Tamandua tetradactyla: one gene and its partner. The protein of the gene in region 1 interacts with the protein of each later gene in a biochemical or structural test. Links are inferred from orthologs where the notes say so. Each region holds a gene or a part of one and is shown on either strand. Other genes may lie near its edges.

The links. The genes of interacting proteins can lie anywhere in the genome.
Region 2: the proteins of NFE2 (region 1) and MAFG form a complex in vitro, tested with the Homo sapiens proteins (2 studies listed by BioGRID and IntAct, with this or other methods). The link is inferred for Tamandua tetradactyla from reciprocal best matches to the Homo sapiens genes NFE2 and MAFG.

What each region holds. Positions count from the first base shown.
Region 1 is NC_135333.1:115,697,861-115,708,130, reverse strand, and holds the start of NFE2 (transcription factor NF-E2 45 kDa subunit), read left to right. Parts: upstream 1-5,758; 5' UTR 5,759-6,386; coding exon of another isoform or gene 6,387-6,404; 5' UTR 6,405-7,018; intron 7,019-10,270. Other genes in the region: COPZ1 (coatomer subunit zeta-1), read right to left, coding at 6,387-6,404. UniProt on the Homo sapiens protein: Component of the NF-E2 complex essential for regulating erythroid and megakaryocytic maturation and differentiation. Binds to the hypersensitive site 2 (HS2) of the beta-globin control region (LCR).
Region 2 is NC_135332.1:74,104,911-74,114,105, forward strand, and holds the start of MAFG (transcription factor MafG), read right to left. Parts: upstream 4,278-9,195; 5' UTR 4,168-4,277; intron 3,450-4,167; exon of another isoform or gene 3,404-3,449; intron 1-3,403. Other genes in the region: PYCR1 (pyrroline-5-carboxylate reductase 1, mitochondrial), read right to left, coding at 8,625-8,790. UniProt on the Homo sapiens protein: Since they lack a putative transactivation domain, the small Mafs behave as transcriptional repressors when they dimerize among themselves.

The DNA of each region.
Region 1 (10,270 bases):
GATGACTTTAAGGAGTTAGAAGATGCTATCCACAGAGCAGAAAGAGGACAAGAAAGGATGTGATTGAGATTCCTGGAAAGTTTTTCATTTCCTACATACAAAGAAATCCTTAGGGAAATGTCAATAGCTTTTGATCAATTAGAAATGATATAGCAGTATGCTCTTTCCTCAACCTTATTTATAAAGTAAAACCAAAACAGGTCAGAGATCCTAGAAGGAGAAATTCCTAGCCACCACCCCCAGTTCTACAAGGCTAAGCAGGTATGTGCCCCCTTTCTGTGTGCCAACTTCTTTCAAATGAAATGCTCCTCAGGGACTGAGGATCTAACTTGTCAGCCACAACATTCAAGACCTCAGATGAAAAGAAAAGAAGAATTAGCTAAAAGTCTTTGACAGGGAAGAGCAGTTTTCACATACCACCTAATGATTTGCTTAGATTCAAGAAGCATAGCTGAGAAACGAACAGGAGCCACAAGTATCACAGAAACCTACCCACGTGACACAAGACTGACTACTGGTTATAAGGAGGGAACTGAATACCTGTCTTAGAAAGAAATGATGGCAAGAAGAGACATCTACAAAGACTCTTCCTACCTGACATAGATATAACACATAGTACGTAAAGCACAGCCATCAAGAATTCCGACATCACATATAATGCAACAGGATGGGATACACAGGTGGTTCGGCGGGAGATGCCCATCTTCCACTTGGGAGGCACAGGTTCGAATCCTGGATCATGCACCCCCTCGCCCCCCCCAAAAAAAGTTCATAAAATGCAACAGAAAATGTCTCTGAACTCCTGAAACATTTATATTATACTTTGGCTCAGCCATTAACTCAATAACTACCTTTCTCTAGGACTCAGCTTCCTCATGAGAGAAATGAGAGGCCTGACCTGTATCAGTTGAGGTTAATGCCTTTTTTGAGTTACAGAAGACCCCTTTGATAAGCTGATGAACTACGTACCCTGTTCCCAGAAAAATACACATTCACACATTTTTATGAGTTCAGGGTATTCATACACCTAAGTTTGGAATTAAATAAGAGATTCTCTCTGAAGACAACAATGGTGGGGGGAGGAAAGAAAGGGGGGGGATGAGTGATACTTTCGTAAAATCATCCCCTCCGCTTTCCCTGGTATCCAGCAATGACTTCAATAAACACGCAGGTGGCCTTCATAAATTAATATGATTGAGAAAACACACACAGCCAGCAGGGGGAGCAAAGGTCAGCACCATATTCATCCAGGTTTTCAGGGCTGAATCTGGTGGTTGTGAGATGGGCAAGACACAGATAATGAGGCCCCCAAGTTCTTCAGGAATGCAAAGTCTCAGTTCCTTCCTGAAAATTCAGAAAACCTATCTGTTGGAGAAATTTTTTGCTCAGAGATAACAATCTCTAATTCTTCAACCACCACGAAAGTGCAAAGAATCACAGAAATGCAGGACAATGCAAGACTGCTGGGAAAGGAGATAAATAAGTAGAAATCATATTGTACTCGACACCCTTAGGTCCAGAGCAGCATTAGAACTTCCTACCTTTCCAGTCTGATAATCTAGGAGCCCTCATTTAAGTGTCACTCAGAAAAGGGAAAAAACAAATGGGGTAAGGTCCTAGCTCATGATTTGTGTCATGATTTATGGCCCTCCCCATCCCCAGCTACTGTAAAGGAAAGGCCAGTCTCTGAAAGAATGAACCGATAACCTCTGTGTTCATCTTTATCTATTTGCTCCCCCAAATCAGCCTCTGAGGGAGAATTATTATCCTCTCTCTTATTCCAGGATCCCTCTAAAAGCCACACAGTAGTAGAAAAGGAGTAGAAGAAAACAGGTAGACAGAGCTATCTAGGATAGGGAAACTACAGACAGGAGTGCTCCCTCCAATCAATCTCATTAGAAGGGTTATTCTGCCCAGAATCAGGGGAGGTAGGGCAGAACACTGTGTGAGGGCCCTTGCCAGGGCAGGCACCTTATAATAAAAAATTCGGACTCCCTCTTCCTAATTACTCTGGCAGAAGTGGTTAAGTAGGCAGTGATTCAGTGATTCTTTATTCCCATTCCACCCTCTACTTGTCTCTTCTAGTTCCCCTCTTCACAACTAGTTTTCCTGTCAGTATCCTGACTCTAACCAGGTTATGCCGGCAGCATAAAGTAAAAAACAGTAGTCAAGTATCTAGATGAAAAAGACCCTAAATCTGCCTCCCAGGAAAGATTTGGCTTCTCAAGGGTCTGACTTTCTTCACAGGGAGGCCCCCTCCTCCTCTTTTGACCATATGACAGCTCCCCTAGACCTTTGCTATAATTTATACCTTGCCGGGGACCAACTCCTTCCCACTACTGTAAAAGAGAAGGAAAAAATATATATAAATACGTCGGAAATCTATAACGAGGTCTTCTTGGAGGGCAAGACATGGGGAGAGTTAGAAGCAGCGTCAATTGCTCTTTGGGGGTTTTAGTTCAAGCCGAGGTCTGCTTCCAGCAATCAACCATTAAAACAAGCCGGCCAGAGTAACAGCACAGTTTATTCTGATCATTTAATGTGAAGTGTCAATAAATTAAACTTCAATCAATTAAACTAGGTGTGCAATAACCCAGATGGACACCCCGACACCAACATAATCACAATAAAAAATTTTATGGCTGCCAGGGACCTCACCGGGGGCAGTGCTGGCACTGCTTGCGCCCTAGCTGAGAAATATATCTCCACAGTGCAGGAAGGAGGAGATTGCTTCTCCTAACGAAATGGAGGGGCCAGGCACTGGCAAGGACGCAGCTGGGAGAGGGGCACAGGGGACTGCCAGGGACGAGATGGGAGTGCTTTGGGGGCTTAATGTAATTGATACCTTTGCCCAGAGCAGGGGGAGGAGGCATTTAGGCCAAGTACCTCCACTGTTAGTGCCAAAGGAATTTAACAAAAGCCCCATTAAGATGATTCAGGAAGCCAAGGCCATGGAGCAACATCAACCTCTAAGAGTCATTGATGTATTCTGCACATATACACATACCCTCCTGCACTCTGGATGGCTTGACTTTTGTATAGGGTTTAGAATTCAGGATTTGGTCACTGTTTTAAGATAAAAACGTTATTAAGGGAAGAGAACGGATAGAATTAGAAGCCTAATCTGTAAAGTACTGTTCAAGTGAAAGTGAATCCAGAGAGTATATGGAAAAATGAAACTTAAGAGGAAAGATTTAAAGATCTAGACTGCTAGAGTAATTCAGCCTTGAGAAAAAAAAAAGGGTTGAAGGGGACAAGTCATTATCTTTAAGATTCTATAGGGTATTAATGGAGAATGGTGACCTGCTGAGATCCTTATCCATTCACAACTGAAAAAAGGAAAACAAGCAGAAATAGCAGGAAAGAGGAAGTAGAGTTCAAAGATGGAGGTTGGGACATTATTATTAAACACTGGAAACAGAGAGATGAAAGGGTCACTTTCCTTAGGAATTACAAGTAGACCTGAGAAAGAGGAAACAAATCTGTTTGAAAGCTAGAGCTGGATTACTTAATTCAGGAAAGAAATGTGACCCATTCTAACATACCTAAGTGAAGGGAACCTATTGGGATTAAGAAATTCTCATAATCAGAGCCAACTTTGATCAATAGTTCCACTTGATCACCTCTAGTTTACGCTTTCCTTCTTCTCAACTCTTTACTTCTTCTACAACTGTGTGCTATGTCAAGGTGAGTGAGGACAGAAGAATATTTTCTGATCAGATTTCCCCAGAGGTCCAGCCAAACCAGGAAACAGAAATGTGAAAGGAGGAAAAGGAAAGTTACTCTGAAAGGAGTTTGCCCTCTCTAGGGAGTGGCCTGTTAAACACTCAGCTGGTACAGTAAACTTTGGTTCAACAGGATAAAGATCTAAGGTGAGATACAGAGAGTCTACATTGTTTTCACAATGAAGATGATGACCTAAGAATCAGGAGATATGGCTGAGAATAGACAGAAGAGAGGATGAGATTTAAAAAAGGTACTGTAAGGAAGTTTGATTCTCAATCAAATGGAGCTAATTTTGGTAGACCAGTGTGTAACAATAATGAGGAGAGAATAGAGATTTAGGAAATATTACCTGATTCTCAACAAAAGTTCCTCATCAGAACTACATAACACAGAAAATTATTTAAGTGACCATTTTCTCACTTCCCCCAATGGAGGGTTCATAATGAATGGCATTCTGGATGCAGTGGATAGAGACTGATTCATTACAATGGATGCCTTAGGGCATTAAGGCTCATGGAACTCCAGTTGAGAAAGCTGGAAAAGTGAAGAAAAGTGTTTAAATTCTTAATTGAGAGCCCCAAATAACTGTATGTAAAGAGCAAAAAATGTTGAAAAGAGTTAACCCAAAGGAAAGATAATACTAATTTAATATCTTAAAATCTCTGGAGACCAGTACAGGGATTAATATCTGTTGGTGATGTTTGAAAGGACAATTTTGCATACAGAGGACGGAGAAAGCCCATGGTGAGAGAATCTTGGTAACATCATAGAGGGATGTGATCTTAGAGGTTGAATAAATCCAATCTAATCCTAGTTTTGATATTGTGCTTCCTTAAGCACAATTCTTAGGTCATCATCTTCACTGTGAAAAGAATGTGGACTCACTGTATCTCACCTTAGATCTTTATCCTGTTGAACCAAAGTTTTCTCGTACTTTGATTTCCCATTTAACATAATTACATTGGTCCCTCAGGATAAAAAAAAAAGCATGAGGATTATATTATTACTATGGTAACATATATACAACATAAAATTTCCCATTTTAAGCACTTTCAAGTACACACTTCAGTGGTAATAGTCACATTCACCATGTCATGCTGCGATCACCACCATCCATTACCAAAATGTCCATCAACCTACACAAAAACTCCCTACTCATTAGGCATTGATTACTTCAGTATGATTTTTAAAGCAAAGTTCTGGGGTACCTGATCAAGTTAGCTCTAACACCATGAATGCAGCATCTTAGGTACAGATTCAAGTGGATATAAGGAAGAAGTGAGTTGGAACAAATGTCCCTTAGGAAGAAGGGAGAGGAAACTGAGGTGTGAGAAAATGTGACAAAGGGAAGACTTTCACATATAACTCCCTCAATTCACCACTATTCATAAACCCTTTGCTAAAAGGGCACCCTAACTATCATTTCTCTTGCTCCTTTACTGCCAAGCAGGGTCCCTCTAAACATGTAAGGAAGGTATCTACAAATTTCTAAAAACTTCCAAAGAAACCAATTCCCTAGCATCTATCTATCCTATCTGTTAATTGGTTAAGGATACTGGTTAACTGCCTGCTACTAAAAATATATTTAAAAGTACCTGGATTTTAAGCTTTCTACCTAGATTTGAACAATCTAGGAATTATCTCCACCTTTGCCAGTTTTGAAGGAGGGGAAAACTGAAACCTGTTAGTCTCTTCTACGTGATGATGAGGATCTGGATACGGATGTGCATAAAGTCGGAGGAAAAGAAAAGTCTCCCGGAAAGCTTTCTAGAGTTCAACTCAAGGAAGGAGGCCAGGAACTAAATTCATATCATATCATAAATTCATATTCATATATATATATTTCCAAATTGAAGACAGGATATTTTTGAGAGAAATGCTTAGGTCCAGTCAAAAGGAGTAATAGGTATTTTACTGGTTTGAACAACTAAAATGGATGTTATGAATTAAAAACGGGCTAACATGCCCCTTTAACCACTACAATTCTCATGTATCCAGGGAGAGAGTCAGCATCGCAGATCCTACAGTAAGAATTCCAAAAGTCTAAATGAGGAGGGAAAAAGGAGAACAGAATAAAGAATCTGGAAAAAATATTCTACAATCCAAACTAACTCTATGAGCTATTCCAGAACTTCAGTGGAATAAACTTACTCTTCATCAAGACAGACAGACATAACAGGAATTAACGGGAAACCGAAGTAGGGAGAAAAACGGTTTTTGAAGGAATACGGCAAGGAATGTCAAACTCATAGCCATCAAACTCACAACTTGTGATGAGAAAACTCTAATCCTACAATTTGGGGCGAATTTAGATATTTAAGGAAACTCAGATCAGGAGATCACCCACAATGTAAAGAATTAGGGAAAATCTAAAGAAGCCCCCAACCCTGCACGCTTATAATTCTATGTATCCTCGGACTCCATGTGCTCCCTTCAACTTTTCACCGACTCTATGACCCTCTTTCTCCCCGGCAGGGCTTCCTACTCCGGTCCGAGGCTTTAGCTCCTGTGCTAGGCCACACGCTTATTCCGAGGGCCAGCAGAACCTCCGGTCCCCGAGGATTACCCAGAATTGCCCCCTCTCCTCCCTCCAGTCGAGCTGAACCCGACTCCGGCCCCTATGGACATCTCAGCATCTCGCCTGCCCCTCCGACTCCTACCAAAATCAGCGCCTCCATCTTGCCCCGCAGCTGGTGCCGACGTGGAGCCGCAAAAAGAACGCAGCCGCTGATTGGCTCTACGTCTCCATTAAGCAGCCCCCTAGGATAAGGGTCATTGGACACCAGACGCCAGAATTGCCTTACTGACCAATCAATGTACTAGCTTTCTCAACGGAAGTAAGATATCCAACCAGAAAACTCAGATATTTGATTGTCAGCTTGAATACTCAATAAAAAGCCAAATTCGCTCCAGGGAATGAGGCATAGAGTGACAGGGGCGGGGTTGTTTCCATGGGGAACAGAGGAAGCGATTATTAATTTTCGATTGGTAGAGTAGAGCGTACGTGATACCGTCGACTCGCCTAAGTAACTTTAATCAGCACTGCCTGTAGGGGGCGCTATGACCTTTTGGCCCTTAGCACTGGCAGCCGGTGACAGAATCCTATCCTAATCACTATACCAAGAGCCCACCCTAGGTCCATGTTACTTCGGGTTGCTGGAGCAGCTATGCCTGACACCCTCCAGGCTTGGTCAGCTATTTAAGCATCCTCAAAGGAAGTCTGTACAACCACAAAGTGGAGCCACTACACTAGATGCCTCGCGTTTTAACTAGAAGAACCAAGGCCGCCACGGTAAAGATCTCTCTAAGTTGGAGTCCCAGGCTTTGCAGGACCCAGGGAAGGAAAAGAAGCCAGTGAATTTCTCTATTAACAGTTTCCTTTGGTCAGATGTGAAATGAGACGTTAGAGCTTTAGACGCCTGAAAGGAGAAAAATAGGAGGGGTAAAGGGTTTGTAAAGGACCAGGACAAGGGAGGGAGGGTACAGGGAGCAGTGTCTGCGGTTTTCCAGTAGGGACAAGCCGTTGCAAAACGAGAAAAGAGAAGTTTACTAAGTGCAGAGATTTCACAATGGGGCAGGGTTTTGATCAAGTTTGCTTTCCCCAACCCTTGGTTCCTTGGTGCCTGACCCCCGTAGTTCGGCACCTCTCATTGCCTTATATTATCCCTACAGGAATTTATATTTCCCATCTCAGACAACTTTGTCTTTAGGATCCCTCCAAGAAAAGGTCCAAACCAACCCAAGAGTTTTTTTTTCATAGTTTCAGAGTAGAGTCAGAGGGCGTAAGAGAGAAGTAAAATAAACAATGGAAAAGTTTTGGTAATAGATGCTGGTGATGGTAGCACAATAACATCGCTGAATTATGTATTTGAATGTGGTTAAAAAGGAGAAATTTTACGTTGTATAAATGTTACTAGAATAACAATTTTTAAAAACCATAGGACTATACAACACAAAGAGTGAATTAATGTAAACTGTGGTCTATAGTTATAAGTATAATAATGTTTCATCAATTGTAACAAAGGTACCACACTAATGCAAAATGTTTATAATAAGGAAAGCTATGTGCGTGAGTGGGTTATAGAGGAACCCTGTATTTTCTGCATGATTTTTCTGTAAAGCAAAACTTCTCTAATAAAAAAACAAAAACAAAAACAAAAACAAGAGGAAGGTAAATGATTTTCTGATGAAGTCCCAAGTGACAAAGCTCAACAATCCAGGTCTCAAATATAAATTGAAAAATGGCAGAGAAAGTCATCTGGAATTGAGGGACTGGCGTGTGAGAAATTACTTCTTTTATACCTGATTGAGCTGACTTGATTTATCACCTTGTCCCTTTAAAATTGCAGAGATGCTAAGCCCTGGACACAAAACATGAAGGTCCATTATCTGTGAACTTCAGAGTCTCAAACTGGACGCTTATAGTTTAAGGAAACATAGATCCACCCCCAAGGCTTCAGTTGATGAGGTTGGAATTGAGCTCTCTTTGTTGTAATCTGTAACTCAACCTGCAACCTCTTTGAGAAAAGAGTATGGAGAGGCACAGTCTAAATAATTTCACAGCAGAAGACTCCAACTTGACGATCTTTCCACCAAGGTTTTGGGACAACTCAGATTAGATACTACATATAAAATGGGAAGGGAAACAGTTGACCAACTATGAGCCCAATCAGGGATGCTTAGGCTTGAATATTGGGGTTTGGACAGAAAGATGGTGATAAGGAGCAGAGAGGGGAGTATCTAGGTAAAAATCTTAAAATCCAGGTAGTTTTTAATAAGATATTTTTTATTGTAGGCAGTTAACCAGTTAACAGATAAGGTATCAGATGAGGTAGATACTAGTTTTTAGAAATTTTTAGATACCTTCCTACACCTATTTAGAAAGGAGCTTACTTGGAGGTAAAGGAGTAAGAGATGATAGGAAACTCTTTTTTTAATTTGTGTGCTGTAAGGCAGGGGTCACATTTCATTCTTTTTCCATATGAGTATCCGTTCATTGCACCACCATTTGTTGAATTTTTGCTTTTGTTTGGTTTTTTGTTTGTTTGCTTATTTGTTTGGGGAGTGCATGGGCCAGGAATCGAATGGGGCCTCCCGCATGGCAGGCGAGAATTCTACCACTGAGCTACCCTCACATCCCTTAGAGAACTCTTTTAACAAAGGGTCTATGAATAGTGGTAAGTTGAGGGAGTTATATGTGAAAGAAAATCTTCCCTTTGTCACATTTTCTCCTACCTCAGTTTCCTCTCCCTTCTTCCTGAGTGATGTTTACTTCAGCCCACTTCTTCCTTATATCCACCTGAATCTTTACCTGAGATGCTGCATTCATAGTATTCCAGCTAACTTGATCAGGTACCCCAGAACTTGGTTGATGGAAATTTTGGTAATGGATGGTGGTGATGGCAGCACGACATTGTGAATATCATTAACGTCATTGAATTCTGTATTTGAACGTGGTTAAAAGGGGAAATTTTAGGTTTTATATATATTACTAGAATAAAAATGAAAAAAAAAACCACATAGGACAACATGGCATGGTGAACCCTATTGTAAACAATAGGCTATAGTTAATTGAAGAGTTATAAAAATGTTATTGCATGAATTGTAGCAAATGCTACAATTTGTCGCAATACTAATGCATGGTATTAATAATAGGGTGGTATGTGGGAACTTTGTGTTTTATGCATTATTTTCCTGTAAACCTACAAATTCTCTAACAAAAAAATTAAAAAAAAAACCTAAGTGGTCTAGACAATCCTATTGATCAAAATAGTTGGGGTAACTGATTATTTTTTTCATTTAAAAACTTTAAGACTCTATCATAAATATCTTTGTATATGTTTTCAATAAATGTTTATCAAATGCCAGCCATGTGCCAGGCATTGGCTTTGGGCACTGGGGTTATAGCAGTGAACAAAACAATCAGGTACCTCTGCCCTTGTAGCATTTGCATTGTAGTTAGGCAGCGGAAGCAGAGAATAAACCGAAGAAATAAGTAACCTATATAAGAGTTAGGTGGTGATAAGGTTTATGGAAAAAAATTAAAACTAAAAAGGAAAACCGGGAGTGATCCCATTATGTTGCACAATATGGAGTGGTACCTTTCACAGTGAGATGTGAAGGAGAGGCAAGAGGTTCAATAAGATGGTCCCAGAAGACCTTACTAAGAAGGGTACATTTGATAAGACACCTAAAAAAAGTTAGAGAATGAGCCATGTGGATATTTGGGGGAAGAGCATTCCAGACAAAGAGAAAATATAGGAAAATATGGAAGAAAAATATTAACATAGGTTACCCTGAGAGGATGAGATGGAAAGAGTGGATTATTCAATAGATTTTCTTTATATATGTTGTTCCTGTAGGACTTTGTTACAACAAGCAATTTAAAACTAATAAATGAAAAAGGGACTATCATAAAATGGGGATAAAGTTGGGAGGATTAAATGAGATAATGTTTGAGAAAATGTGTGTAAACTGTTAAATGCTTAGTATTTACTTATTATTTTATAAATAACTGAACATAATTGAACACTTCTGAGCAGAA
Region 2 (9,195 bases), on another chromosome or scaffold:
GACCATCTCCCACAAGTCTTGGACAGAGCCCCTGCTCGCCATGGCTAAGAGGGTCTGTCCCCGCTAGGGACTTGTGCAGACAGGAGAGCGAGGGAGTCTAACTGAAAAGCCAGGATGTTGGGGGGGGGCCATGTCACTCAACTAGCTCCGTTTTGGGGACCCGCCTGTGACTCCAGCCTGGCCAAGGTCCACCTCCCGCTGATGGGGCAACGATCCTTGTGGCTTTGGGTGCCACTTCAGGTCCCCTGCCCCACCCTATCCAGGGTGTTTCACAAGTGTGCCCACGTTTAGCCAGAAGCCTGCCCAGTGGGGGCAGGGGGTCTCCACACCCTAGGGTCACTGACTGCTCTCTGGCCTCCTGGGGTCACTGCCCACAGGCCCAGGGAATGAAAACAAAAGGGTTAGCCAAAGAGCTGCCCTAAAAGCTGAACCAAAGAAGTACCCTTCCTCGCCACCCCCCCTTTATGCTTTCTGTGCCTACCTACCCCCTGGATTCCAAGGGGATTCCAGGCTCAGCCCAGCTCTGGCCAGGCCCATGGCAAGTACCCCAGATCCCCGTTGTGCCTCCACCTCCCAGGTTAGATCCAGGAAGGTAAATGGCTCAGAAGACACTTGTACACTGGAAGGGTGAGACATACTGCAAGCAAAAGCCACAAGCACCAGAGGCAGAGTTTTTTTTTTGGGGGGGGGGGGGGGGCAGGCTTTCTTGCTCCCACTGAGGAGTGTGGGCAGGGGAGGGAGAAGCACAGGTTTGCACTGGGATGGAGACCCCACCCCCTCCAGCTTGGAAGCTGCAGGAGAGGCTGCAGGAAAAGGAAGAGGGGAGGAGAGGCAGTGTTAGCCACAGCCAGCAGTGGCTCGTGCCTTCTCCAGGTCAAAGGCTGGGGAAGACCGGGAACTAGAGGCCAGAGAACTGTCAGAGCACCTGGCCCCAGTAGGGGTGAGAAAGGCCCTTCCAGCCAAGCCCAAGCTGGGGGCAGAGACACTGCCTTGGGGTCCCCAGGTTGCCTTGGCATCAGCTTTTCCTGTCCCCACCCCCAGACCACTCAGCACTTCTAAGAGATCACTGAAAAGTGCCGAGTGTGGCGACTAGGTGTGGAAAAGTGCCTCCTCAACAGATTTTCCCCTCTGCAGAAGGCCCGGACTCAGCATGCACAGCAATCACCCCTCACCCGAGGCATGTGTGCGTGTGTGAGTGTGCCTGTGCACAGTGGGGGCGGGGCAGTTCTTTGCACAGCCGGGGCTTCCTGCCTGCCACTCAGGGGTACACCTGGGGACACAGAGAGGGACACAGCAGCCTTTGGAGGCAGCCTGAGGGTGGTGGCCTCCGGCACCCATGGACGCTGTGTTCCAACAGGCCACATCTGGGGCTGGACCATAGCTGGGGCCCTGCCACTTCCCCAGAACTGAGCCCCCTTGAGGAGGGATACAGATGGTCCCAAGGGCCCCAACCCACAAGGGTACACTGGCCACCCACTCAGGCAGAGAACCAGGAAAGGGTAGAAGGCTGGGGTGGCCCCACCCCTTCCCCTTGGGAAAAATCCCGGGACACAGGGCTGGGGCCAGACTGGCAGCCCTTGCTCCCACCATCGAGGTCTGAAACCCGCTGGCCAGAGCTTGCAGCAGGGCAGGTGCAGTGGACCCACTCGGGCACCCCAACCTGGCCCCACCCTTCAGACTCGCATTCTCCAGAAGCCGCTCAGCTAAGAAAGCCATTCTCTGAAACAAGTCTCAAATTAATTTTCACTGAGAAGACTCAACTACCCCCTCCAGGAATATGTAATTCCCTAGGGGTATAAAATACCAAAGGATCTGTTAAAGTGTAAGACATCTGGCATCTATAACCCCCAGAGAACAAACAAGGGGATGGCACTCCCGAGGACAAACCACAGTCAGCCCAAGCTGGCCAAGACTGCAGCAGAAAGGGCTCCTGGTGGGCTGCACGCTCCCTCCCCTGCCCCGGAACCACCAGTGCTCTGTGCTCGCAAAGAAAGGCAGCTCAGCCACACCACCCTCGAGTTGTCACTGCCCAGGAGTCTGTGGCCACCTGGCCACAACCCAGCAGGGCTTCACACTCTCTGTGAACTTCACACATTGCCGAACCTCAGCCTCAGGTGGGACCAACTCTGGGATGATGGGGAGCTGTACTCTTCCCATTCCATCTGCTGCACCCCAGAAGGCCAGGCCCCTCACAACTCCAACCACCTGCAGCCTCCTGAAACCCCAAGGCTAGCTGAGTGAGAAGCCTGCTCACACACAGTGTGCCCCTGATTTCTAAGTTCCATTGCTTCCTCTCCCTTGCAATTTCCTGGCAGAGCAGCCCTACAGCCGGCTTCCTCTCCTGTTTTGCTCCGGCTCACCCCAGACCCTCAAAGCTCACCCCAGACCCTCAAAGCCGAGCGAACCTTTCTCTCTCCCACCAGCTCATTCTCCCAGGGGCTGCCCTGCCTGGCCGGGCACAAGAAAAATCTTCCCTCCCAGCAGGGTCAGCAGGCCCCTGAGTTCCTCCCCTCTTCTCGGCTCAGAGAACTCTCCCTGTTCCGGAACTGCCCCAGACCTGGGACTGCCGGTTGTCTGCGCACAGCGTGCCTGGGAGGCTCCCGGACAGCTGACCTGCAGGCGGTCCCCTTTGCTGCCTCCCCAGTCCGCCACCGCGCCTGCCACTCTCACCTTCAGCCCAGACTTACATAGAAGCCCCCCACCCCTCTGCCTGACCCCCTCACCACATCCCCAGGCTTTTCCTTCCACCCCTTAACTTCCCGGCCTTGAAGCCCCCAAAGTCACTCCCGCCAGCCCCCACCACCACTCCTCAGGCACCAGGCTGAGCAGCGAGTGACCTCATGCTGATGACTCAGCAAGTCTCCCTCAGGCCCCGCACGCGTGCGACCGGAGGCGAGGCCAACGCGGGCAGGGGCTTCCCGGCCCGCTCCGCAAGCGCCTCCTCCTCCCGTGGCCCCGCCGGGGACCCCTGCGCGCGGGGGGCCCGGCGCGGACACCTGATGAATCAGCACTCGGAGCGGTAACCCGCCGGGCTCTCCTGGGGATACCTATGCGCCCCGCGACGGCCCGCTCGACCCCGCCCTTCCCTCCGGCCCCGAGGCCGCCCCTCCCTCTTCAAGACCCCAGACACCTCCGAGCCAGCTCCACGCGCGCGCCGCTCGTGGCCGCGCGTCCACCCGGTGCTCCACCCCCCGCGGCACGCGGGGTGGCAGAGGCCAGGGGCCTGGCCCCCGAGCTGTGGGGAAATCGAGGCACTGGCCGCCAGCAGGGCGCGGGGCAGATCCCGGGCGGTCGTACCCCATCGTTCGGCGGGAGCGCCCGGCCCACACCCCCGCGTACCGGGAGGAGCCTGCGGCCCGCGGCCGGCCCCCGCGCCGCCCCCCGCGCCGCCCGCCGCACTCACCACACTGCGGGCCCGGGCGGGCCGAGGCCAAGGCCGGGGCCGGGGCCGGGCGAGGCCGCGCGGGGTCCGGGGCCGCGCGGGGCGGGGCTTGGGCGCGGGGGGCCGGGCACGGGGTCTGGGTGGGGTCGCCGCTTGCGCGGGCCGGGCCGAGCGCGCTGAGAAGGCCGGGCCGGACCGGACCAGGTTCAGGATCCGCCGCCGCCGCCGCCGCCGCCGCCGCCGCTCCACAGACGTCACATGATGTTTGGTCACGTGGGCTCCATTCATGAAGCGGCGACGCGACCGGCTGGCGCTTAAAGGGGAAGGCGCGCCGGTGGCGCCCGGGGGCGGGGCGGGCGCGCCGCACGGCGCCTGCGCGCCCCAGGGCCGTCGCCCTGGCAACGCCCGCCGCGCCCGCCTGTCCCCGGGTGGGGTCTCGCGGGTCCGGCCACGCCCTCCTGGCGGCAGCGGGAGCGCGCTCCGAACTCAAGGCGGGTTTCCCCGGTCTTTAGGACGTGGGGGCGGCCGTTCCTCGCTCCGCCGCATCTCCAGAGCCTTTCTGAGCTCACGGCTTCCAAGACCACTTCCCCAGGCGCAGGTGGGACCCAGGTCCCGGAGCATTCATGGAGGGAGCGGGAACACCACCTGCTCACCCTTGGGCACCTCCTGCGGGGCAACCCCAAGAACCCGCCCCGCACGGCCCACCCCTGCGCGCTCCCGTTCGTGAGCAGGGGCTGTCGGTCCTGACCCAGCTCCCAGGGCCGCTGAATTCGCAGTCGACTTACCTGTTTCCTCAACATCTGCCCAGAAATGCGTTCCTGAGTGCGCTTGGCCCTGCGCTTGCTGTCCGGAGTTCCCCGGGAAAGGCGGCTGGCGGGAAGAAGGGGCCGTCCCTCGGGTGTCCACTTCCACCTGCCCGACTTTCTACTCAGCCTTCTTCCTTCCCGCTTGTGAAGCCAGGAAGAAAAACCCACCGAGCCAGAGTTCAGGGCCACGCCGGAGCGAAGGGAGTCCTTGAAGTGGGTACTTGAGGCCACCCAAGAGGCCCCAGAGCCTTGCCAGTCTGCCAGCTCCGGCAGCTTGTTTTTCCTTCCACCTTGTGCGGTTGTGTGCGGCTGTCACCGTTACCTGCTCCTTTGGAGCATGAGTGCGGACTCAGTCTCCCCTCATGCCTGGGCCTGCGGGAGCAGCAAGAGCTCTTGGCCGAGATTCTGAAGGCCCCGATTTTAATGTAAGAAACAGCAACGATTTGCTGTGCAGGCCCAGAATCCTGGCCCGTTCCCCCTTCTCTTTTTCTTTCTCACCCCTAAGGTGAGGCTGTTTTCTCGGCCTTGCTCAGCAGGATGTGGGCCCCTGAGGGCTGGACTGGCCTGGCAGGTGGCACCAAGTGACATCAGGAGCCGGCCATCAACTTGCTCCTCCCTGTCCATAGGGCCACCAGCCCCAGCAACCTCAGAACATGTGGGTGACTGACCCTGGGGCGTGGACAGCCCCTTCCATCCCCAGGCCTGGGTCTTTGGCACTTTTCAGGGGTGACTGAGAAGCTAATTATGCATTATTTTGATTTGGGAAGGAGCCTGCCCCCAATTTCTCTTCTCCAGCTGCTCTGCAGCTCCATCCACGGTCCAGGGGATGGGGTGCTGTGCTGCCTACCCTCCCTTCCCTTGGGGCCTGTGGAGAGGGCACGTTCTAGAAGGTAACCCCGGCTCCCCGCTGCCCCCCCCCCCAAACCCAGGCCAGTTTCCCAGGTCAGAAACTAACAGATGATCACAGACTTGGTGCCTTGAACCAACATACATTTATTCTCTCACCGTTCTTCAAGTATGAAGTCACGTGAGGTCCGGGCCATGCACCCTCTGAGAACTCCAGGGGAGAATCCTGCCTGGCCTCTTACAGCCTCTGGTGGCTGCCAGGGTCCATGGCTGGTAGCTGCATCACTCGCCTCTGCCTCCATCTTCCCAGGGCCATCTCCCCTCTGTGTGTCTGTCCAGACCTCCCTCTTACAAGGATACCAGTTACATCAGGTTAGGTCCCCCTAGTCAAATAGGCTTTACCTTAACATTCCATCTGCAGTGAGCCTATTTCCAGAAAAGATAATGTTCACAGGCAGCAGGGATTAGGACGTAAACCTGTCTTTCTGGGGGACACAATTCGACCCATGACCCTTGCCCCCACCCCAGAACCTGCTCCACAATGTCACAGCACGTCTAGAGCGGAGGGGGGAGGGGGCTGCTGAGGGAGAGAAAGGTACTGCCCTTGAAAGGGCTGAATTGCCCGGCCCTAGGACCTATCTCAGTCTAGCTGGCAAGCCCCAGAAGCTCAGGGGTTGGCAAGAGCCAAGCTGGTTGGGTGTGCAGGTCTCAACACCTGCCCTTGAGCCTCCTGGCCGGCTCTCCACATGGGCCCAGGGCACTTGTCCTGGGAGTAGCAGCTCAGCCTTGCTTGAGCCAAAGTTGGCAAGGCCTTTGGGGCATCTGAAGGGCTCCTCCTCCTTCTGAGGGAAGGCCTGCTGTCTTGGGTGTGTCCATCTGTCTGTCAGCTGTCCACCAGCAGAGGCTCCAGCCTGGCTCCCTGCACAAGCCCGCCTCTGGACATTGCCTGGCCACTGGGCGCCACCTTCCTGCTGAAACTGCCTTGGACATCTTTCCAGGAGCCGCTGTCCTACAACTCCTCTTCAGGTCGGGCGCACCCTCCAGGGGACAGAATTTGGCACCCTGCTTGCTCCTCCCACTGGGCAGCAGGCCCCAAACTGACCTCCAGGAAGGCTGAGGGTACCTAGTCCAAACCTAGATCCAGGCCCAGGCCTGCTCCTTCTGGCCTCTCTCCTCCAAGGAGGGGGTCCAGAGCGATGGCCCATTCTGGGGTTCCCAGGGTGACTCGTCCTCTCTGTCTGGCCCATTCATTCTAGATCCCGGATCCGACTCGTATGGGGCCTTGGGCCGGGGCTCGGCCTCACTAGGGAAGGTTCTGGCAGAGCGAGACCAGATCAGAGCCAGAATTTAGGACCAGGTTCCCGGCAGGAAACTGAGGCAGAAGCCAGGTCAAAGGGAACCCTCTGGGCCAAGGGCAGTAAGACTTTCTCCAGGCTCTGAGCTGCAGGGTGGAGGGGCCCTAGGACATGGGAAGTGCAGAGCTGGCAGTGGAGGGGGCCGGGAGGGGGCTATTGGGCTGAACTTCACCCAGCTGGATGCTTCCCACCTGCGTGTGAGGATCCGGATACCCAGACTGCAGCTCCCTCCGTGGCCTGCTCTGGATCCTTAGGGCCGAGCTCACACTTGCAGCGGCCTCCCTGGGTGCCAGGTCTCCTGGAAGGAGATTCCGGGCCCTCTGCCTCCTGCCTCAGTCCACTTCCAGGCCCTCTTCCACCCAGCTCAGACCCTCGTCGGGCCCCCACCAGCTCTACTCCGACTCCTCACCTCTAGCCGTTTGCTTAATCGAGAAACACCTCAGGAAGGCTGGGCACCCCGCCTGCTGGTACCTCCTTCGAGGAGGGGCACAAACACCTCCCCAAACAGCAAAATCTGTCTGGATCCCGGCCTCCTACCCGAGGCCCCATGATGTGCTTCTACCGCTTCGGACCCCTGAGTCTTGTCTTCTGGTTTCCCTCCCACCTCCAGGCAATAAGATTTGAGGAGCCTGGTTAGCAAATGGCCATGATCCTGGGTCCTGGGGCCAGGTGTGTGGCCTGTGGGAAGGTGTCTTCTGGGGGCATCTTGTCCCCAGGCGGTGGGTGCCCAGCACCCTGTGCTGTGGGGGCGGGGATGACTTTGGCTGCTTGCTGCCTGGCACTGGGAAACTCAGGGTCCACACCCCTGTCCCTATGCCCACTTCTACCCATGCAGGCTAGGGGCCGGGCTGGGGGCTCCCACCGGGAGGGGGCCTCCAAGCAGAGTCACAGTCACCCCGTAGGCACTTCAGCCCAGCACCAGCTGCCTGCCGCCCATCTTATCTCTCGCCACCAGGTCACAACTCTGGAGGGCAGGGCCCCCCTCACCCCACCTCTGGGGAGCAGCCAGAGCTCTCCCGAGCCATCCTGGCAGGGACAGAGGAACACAGCTGTGCCCTTATTTACTCTGGGGCACCTTTCCTCCACCTCCTGAAGGGCAGGTCCCCTTTGCCCACCCAGGGGCCCTGGGGCCTGGTTCTGAAGCAGCCCCAGGGGAAGGGTGGACACCTCCTCCAATGTAGGGCAGTTCTTACCCCCACAGGATGGGCTCTCCCTCCTCCCACTGCGCCCCCCCCCCAGATGCCCGACCTAGGACCCCTGGGGGGCGACTGTCTCAATCAGGGGAGAAGGCCCCGACCTGCCATCTCCATACTCAGTATAGCGTGTCTGACTGAACATTCCCGGCTCTGGTAAGGGGCCTGCAGACGCCACCCTGGCAACATCTCCCTCTGGGATGCCTTCCTCACCAGGAACAGGTTCAACTGGCGAGAGCAGTGGGGAGCGGGGGGATTGCCAAGCAAGCCCAGCCCCGGACACCGGCATTCAGGCATGCTCCCGACCTCCAGGCCCCTCTGCTCGCAGGAGACCCTCTGCCGTGCCCACCATCCTCTGACATTAAACCCACCAGCAGCGACCCTGCAGCTGAGGGTTCCCCTCGGGCTTGGCCCAAACGGTGAAGTCGAGGACAGGAGGCCGGGACATCGTTTATTTAACCTGTAACATCGTGGGAGGTGGGGAGGAAGGGGCACGGGGGACCCTGGGAACACGAGGGTCCTTTCCCCGAATGTCAGAGGGAAGCCATGGGCACAGCTTGTCGAGACTTGTGTCTCTTGCCCTGGGCTCAGACATTGAGAACTGCCCCACCCCCTCCAAACAGAGAGGGAGAGGGGTTGCCCCAGGGTGCAGCAGGAGGGTGCCAGAGGAGTGAGACTGGGTGGGACTTCATGGAGGGGAAACTTGACCCTTGTACTAACAAGGGGTAGAGCCCCAGCTGGCTGGCACCGTGGGGAGTGCGAGAAGACCCTTCCCCAGCCCGGGTCTCCTGGTTTGGTTTCTGGGTGTAGGGAGGCTGAAGTCAGAAAATCTACCCCTGTTCTGGGTTGGAAAGCACCTGGGGGTCATGGAGGTTTCCAGAGAGAAGGAAGTGACACGTTCCTTCCCTGACTTCAGCCCTGGCTCTGACCTGCCTTTCAGCAGCCTGAGCCGATCAGGACCATAGGCAGCGGCCACTACAAGGACACTGTGGTGTGACCTGGGCTGAGAGAGCCCAGGTGGAGGACAGACAGATGGGTGGCGTCAGTCCTTCTTGCCCAAGGGGCCTAGGCTGCGAGGGAGCAGCTTGGCGTGGCCAGAAGGGGACAGTGAGGTCCCCTCAGAGGAGCCCAGCTTCACTTTGTCCAACACAGTCTTCTTGATGGCAGCTGGAGAGACCTTTTCCTGGTCAGCCATGGACTGCAACTCCCTGTGGGACACACAAGGAGGTTAGGTGCCAGGGTTCCCCCTCCACCAGGGAAGGGGAAGCCAAGCCTACAGCTCCCAGCCTGCCCATCCTGGCAGTGTTGGGCCATCCCTCCTACCTGGGGTCCTCAGGGCAGTTCCCTCTGCAGCTATGCCCCTCCCCTCTCCCCCAGGCCTCCTTCAGGTTGGCTCAGGGTCACCAACTCTACCGGAAGCCCCTTGACCCTGTGATCCCCCGAGCACTCATCTTGGAGCCCCAGCTATAGGATGCATGTCCCCTGCAGTGGACTGGTGCCAGGAGGGCAGGCCAGCAGTGCCCCCTGGAGAAGTCTGTGCAGTTTTGGACTAAGGACAGGCAGCGTGGTGAAGACACCACCTGCCCTTCCTGAGCACCTGAACTTGGGACAGT